Linked DNA regions of Caenorhabditis elegans. The protein of the gene in region 2 interacts with the protein of the main gene of each other region in a pairwise test. Each region holds a gene or a part of one and is shown on either strand. Other genes may lie near its edges.

Evidence for each region. The genes of interacting proteins can lie anywhere in the genome.
Region 1: the proteins of numr-1 (region 2) and F08G2.5 interact in a two-hybrid assay, tested with the Caenorhabditis elegans proteins (one large-scale study listed by BioGRID).

What each region holds. Positions count from the first base shown.
Region 1 is NC_003280.10:13,832,490-13,835,688, forward strand, and holds F08G2.5 (WW domain-containing protein), read right to left. Parts: upstream 1,143-3,199; coding exon 606-1,142; downstream 1-605. Other genes in the region: ins-37 (INSulin related), read right to left, coding at 2,623-2,960, 3,013-3,172.
Region 2 is NC_003281.10:7,362,011-7,365,332, reverse strand, and holds numr-1 (PB1 domain-containing protein), read left to right. Parts: upstream 1-1,868; coding exon 1,869-2,714; downstream 2,715-3,322. Other genes in the region: numr-2 (PB1 domain-containing protein), read right to left, coding at 103-948.

The sequences.
Region 1 (3,199 bases), on a different chromosome or scaffold from region 2:
GGAAATTTCAATTCCGGCAATTTGGCGATTTGCCAGAAATTTTCAATTTTGCCGGTTCACCGATTTTCCGGAAATTTCAATTCCGGCAATTTGGCGATTTGTCAGAAATTTTCAATTTTGCCGGTTCACCGATTTTCCGGAAATTTCAATTCCGGCAATTTTCTGATTAGTCGGAAATTTCAATCCTCCGGCAATTTTGCCGATTTGCCAGAAATTTCAATTCAGGCAATTTTCCAATTTGTCGGAAGTTTCAATTCCCGCAATTTTCCGATTTGCCGGAAATTTTAATTCCGGCAACAGTTTTATATGACCTCTTTCTTATTATTTGGTTTTTTAATTTAATAATAAAGAACAAAACACAAATTCGAAAAATACAAATTATTTATTTTTACACAACAATAAATAGACAACACACTTAAATGGTCATATCCCGGTTGTTTTAAGATTTATCGAAAAACTACCAACAAACAAAATATTGCTGATGCCTTTTTCAATAATTTTGTAGTTGAACACTTTTCGATATCACTTATTTAAACCAAGATATAGGATACCAAAAATGAAATAGAATACAATTAAACTAAAAACAAATATTTACATTTAAAAATTCAAGCTCCATTCGAATAAGTTTCTCTCGGCGAGTTCTCACAATCATAGATCCCGCGACGACGATTGCGGTATGGTTCCCACGTTCCATTTCTTCCATACGGATGCCATCGTCTCCCATGACGCTGCTCCCACTCGGCAAGCCCATCTCGACAACGGCATGGCGAGGAGTCACTGGAATTGGTTGATGATTTAGAACTCACCGAGTCATCGGAAGAAGAGGACGAGGAAGAATCATCAGAGTCATCAGAAGAGTCGTCAGACGAAGTGTTCGGAGGTTTCACCGACTTTCTCTTCGATCTCTGTTTACGAGCTCGTCGAGCTCGTGGAGCTGGAGATTCAGAGATCGGAAGTTCCGAAGAACGTGGATATTGACACCCTTGGGTGTCTCTACGATCTTGAGAAGTTAACGTGGAAACCGTGGAGTCGGAATATCTATCTTCATCGTCCTTATCTGAAAGTTCAGATTCTGAACTATCAGATGACGAGTCGAAGAATCCGTCTCCAAGAGGAAGTGGACGAGTGCTGAGCTTTCTCATTGTAAATGAGATGCTCTTCAAGGTGAGAGGTGCTGGTTTTATAGGTGGGTTTTGTTGACGAATAGTTTCGAATTATTTCGAAGAGTTTCGAAATTAGTCATGACTTTGATAAGGTGGGCAAATATTGATGACGATATGTGTGTAGTATTGCCAAATTTGAGGAGAACTCCTTGCCGTTTGATCTCCGAAAATTGGGGTCACACAGAACATTTCTGGAAGTACATAGAAGTCTATGTTTCCCGCAATTTTCAGAGGTCAAAAAGTAAGGAATTTGCAAATTTTTTTGCAAATTTTTTTTCCGGCAAATCGGAAAATTGCCGGAATTGAAAATTTCCGGCAAATCGGCAAATTGCGGAATTGAAATTTTCCGGCAAACTTGAAAGTTACCGGAATTGGACATTTTCGGCATACCGGCAAAGTGACAAAATTTAAAATTTCCGACAAATCATCAAATTGCCGGAATTGGAGTTGTGGCATACCGGCAAATTGACGGAATTGAAATTTCCGGTAAATCGTAAAATTGCCGGAATTGAAATTTCCGGCAAAACTGGGGCAATTACATAACTCTAGAAGGAGAACATTTTTGAATTCATAGCTCTTATATCTCTATAGTAAAATTTATGCTATAAATTTATATAAAAAACGTCCTAAAATTGTATTTTGCGCAGCAGGACCCATCTTTGTCGTGCTTTAAAGTTTCAAAAATAGAAACTCATTATTGACACACGAATTTATTTTTAAAAAAATACAAATAATAATAAATTTTATATTTAATTTGCATACTACAAAAACAAGTAATTTTTATCAAAAATTGCAAAATTCCGGTAGTCAAGTTAGTTCGTATGGGGTGGTTGAGAATTGATAACCCATACGATCCGGACCGCAGGAATTCGAAAACTGTTGGGGAGGAGGAAGTATATATACTAGAGGCAATGCAAGCGGTGGACGTTTCTCGAGGAATGGTGGTGGGTTTCTCTGGGTCTCTAGTAGTGTACAAAATGCGCTCCACCGCAATTCGATAATTAGGAGACTGTGTCAAACAACTTTATGTAAGGTGTAATTTTTTGGGTAAAAAATTGACTAATGATTTGAAAAAATCTATTTTAAAAAATCTGCATTTCAAGCCTATATATACGAAATCTTATTTTGTTTCTGTAATTTTTATTATTTTTCGAATTTAATTGAAAAATGCCTAACTAAAATTAAACGTTTCTTTCTAATCAACTTGCCCACCAAATTCCAACAATGCAAAACAGGAAGTCAAGTTGTTGCCGATGGGGTGGTTTCTTCAGATAACCCACCGACTCCGGACCTATGCCTGATAAAAAACCTTCTATCAACAGAGTATATATACCAACGGTCTGTTAAGTGGACGACGGTGTGTTGATAAGTGGCGTTTCAATGGAGCGCACTTGCAATAGTTGTGAAATCAGTTAAAATTTTGCGCTAGTAATTCAAATCCACATATATTATACATACATTACTTTATTTTTACACAATTAATACAGGCATAGTTTTGCACTCGATTGAACTTGTCCGGGATTCTTCTAGGCCGCCGCCGGCGCCACCCCCTTGTTCGGGCACATTGCTTCAATGATATTTTCGTCGGTACATTGACTGTCTTCACAACAATATCATGTCCACAGCTCTTTTTAAAACCCTCCGCCGCAAAGCTGACCATATCGATTTCTTCGGCTTCCTCCTCAAACTTTACTCCATATCCTTGCGAAGCGTACTTGCACAGAGACTCCTTGATGTCCAGATCGGTACACTCGTCCTTGCAGCACATCTTCCAAAGATCCACATCACTGCTGCGATCTGAAAAGCGATGATTCGGTTTTAACCTGCTAAGAATGATATAATAACATACCTTTCTTCCCACTGCAAGCTTCAAAAGCGCGATGAACAAGATGGGATCCACAGGAACGATAGGGAAGGAAGGCCGCATTTGGGACCGGGTGAATTGGATTGGCATTGGTGAGCACGGTGAGCATAGCAATGCTCAAGGCAATTGGCAGGAAAGCAGCCATGGTGTTCAATCGTCTATCCGGTTCGGG
Region 2 (3,322 bases):
TTATTCAAAAAAGTACATGAAAATAAGTAGTGGAATGAATTGAGAACATTGAATACTACTTTTGAAAGAATAATTATAAAATAAGAATGAAAAATGAGATAATTAACATCGACCAAATCTGCGTTCAAATGGATGTTGTCTCTTGAATCCATGATGTCCGAATCCATGACCAAATCCATGATGATGACCACCGAATCCATGGAATGCTCCAAATGGATGATGATGTCTATGGAAATTGAATCCATGATGATCCATTCCTCGTCTTCCAAATGGTCTTCCGAATCCTCCAGTTGGACCTTCAAATTCTTCTCTTCCACAAGGTGTTCCAAATGATCCTAATGGATGTCTTTTGAATTCTTCTCCTTCACGACATGGTCTTCTTCCAATTGGTGATGCTGATCTTGCACGTCTTCCACCAAAACAGTGACGTCTTTTGAATTCTGGATGTCCATGGGATTCTTGGAATCTTTTCCACATGAGCTTCTTCATTTGATGTCTCTTGTGATGATCATGGAAATTTGAACGACTTCTGCTTCGAGATCTTGAACGATCAAATCCACGACTTCTGGATCTATCACGTCTTCCACAATGACGACGATGTGGAGCTACTTCAGGAGCATCAGCAATAATGACATCTTCATCTCCAGAATCAGAAGAATCAGATGAAGAATCCGATGAATCAGAATCAGCAATCACAAAAATAGAAGCAGAATCTCTGTTAGCCATCTTTTTCAGAACTCTCTGAGCATTCTGAGACATTGAAATCAAATTTCCTTTGTCATTTTTCCAGAAAACAACATTGAAATTGAGTCCGAGTTCTCCCAATTTCAACTCTAATTTTTCAATTAGTTGTTGCAAATTGTAATATTCAATTGAAATTTGTTCAGTTGCTCCAGGAGCAAAATAAAGTTTGAAAAGAATTGAATTGGTTGCAGTTGTAGTTTTCATTTTTCAGAATGATTTTCTCTATTCTAAATTTCCAATTTTTATACCTCCATTCTTAAGCTCCGCCTACCAGCTGTCCCTGAACTATTTCGAAATTGTTTAATGTGTCTGTGTCTATCGAAATAATACGAAAATGTACTGTCATCACTGTCTGCGTCTCGAATTGGCGCTGATCTTTTGATATTCATTGATGAATGAGACTAGAGACATGGATGTATTGCACAAACCACAGAAAGAGCACAAAGTCTTTGAATTTCAGATGATCTGAAATACATCGACATCAATAGAGATTTACTTCTTAGGTGACATAATGTTTGGTGATTTCATTAGAAATATTGAACATTCATCTAACAAATTGGGATCTGCAAACCCAATTTTTCAGAAAACGTGTTCATTTCAAAAAGCGATCGAAAAATAGTTTTTTCCGTAACCCGGACTGAGTGCCTGCCTATGTTTTCAATCTGATTAGGGTCTGAAATCTGGAGAGCGAAATTTTTACAGAAAAAAACTATTTTTCGATCACTTTTTGAAATGAACACGTTTTCTGAAACATTGAGTTTGCAGATCCCAATTCGTTAGATGAATGTTCAATATTTCTAATGAAATCACCAAGCATAATGTCACCTAAGAAGTAAATCTCTATTGATGTCGATGTATTTCAGATCATCTGAAATTCAAAGACTTTGTGCTCTTTCTGTGGTTTGTGCAATACATCCATGTCTCTAGTCTCATTCATCAATGAATATCAAAAGATCAGCGCCAATTCGAGACGCAGACAGTGATGACAGTACATTTTCGTATTATTTCGATAGACACAGACACATTAAACAATTTCGAAATAGTTCAGGGACAGCTGGTAGGCGGAGCTTAAGAATGGAGGTATAAAAATTGGAAATTTAGAATAGAGAAAATCATTCTGAAAAATGAAAACTACAACTGCAACCAATTCAATTCTTTTCAAACTTTATTTTGCTCCTGGAGCAACTGAACAAATTTCAATTGAATATTACAATTTGCAACAACTAATTGAAAAATTAGAGTTGAAATTGGGAGAACTCGGACTCAATTTCAATGTTGTTTTCTGGAAAAATGACAAAGGAAATTTGATTTCAATGTCTCAGAATGCTCAGAGAGTTCTGAAAAAGATGGCTAACAGAGATTCTGCTTCTATTTTTGTGATTGCTGATTCTGATTCATCGGATTCTTCATCTGATTCTTCTGATTCTGGAGATGAAGATGTCATTATTGCTGATGCTCCTGAAGTAGCTCCACATCGTCGTCATTGTGGAAGACGTGATAGATCCAGAAGTCGTGGATTTGATCGTTCAAGATCTCGAAGCAGAAGTCGTTCAAATTTCCATGATCATCACAAGAGACATCAAATGAAGAAGCTCATGTGGAAAAGATTCCAAGAATCCCATGGACATCCAGAATTCAAAAGACGTCACTGTTTTGGTGGAAGACGTGCAAGATCAGCATCACCAATTGGAAGAAGACCATGTCGTGAAGGAGAAGAATTCAAAAGACATCCATTAGGATCATTTGGAACACCTTGTGGAAGAGAAGAATTTGAAGGTCCAACTGGAGGATTCGGAAGACCATTTGGAAGACGAGGAATGGATCATCATGGATTCAATTTCCATAGACATCATCATCCATTTGGAGCATTCCATGGATTCGGTGGTCATCATCATGGATTTGGTCATGGATTCGGACATCATGGATTCAAGAGACAACATCCATTTGAACGCAGATTTGGTCGATGTTAATTATCTCATTTTTCATTCTTATTTTATAATTATTCTTTCAAAAGTAGTATTCAATGTTCTCAATTCATTCCACTACTTATTTTCATGTACTTTTTTGAATAATTTTAAAAACTGTTTTTTATAATAAACGTTAAAAAATAAACTTATTTTTCATATAAATAGAATATGTGACTACATTATATATACATTGGAAGCTCTCCATAATGCGATAAGCATCTTTCATGATAGACACTTTTCAAAATATTAAAGTAACCTTCTGCAGATTCTCTTCCCACAACATTGCCAGGATTTCATGTCAATTTTTAAGCTCCAGTCATTTTTGAAGTCAATCTCCATCAAAATTTGTTTTCATTTACGTACGAATAATACTCAAACTATTTAGTGGAAATTAAATGTTTGCATTTCGTTTCAAAAATTAATTGTTCTCCAGCTATTTAGATCACTATTTCACGTCATGTTGCCATTTAATTTTGTGTGTTTTCTGTATTAAATAATTAAAAATTTTATCATAAAAGCATCTAAATTTCTAAATAAACTTTGATGAACCTTATTAACAAGTTTAATGAATAACTAAACAGGAACCTACATAAAATCGGGATGGGATGTTT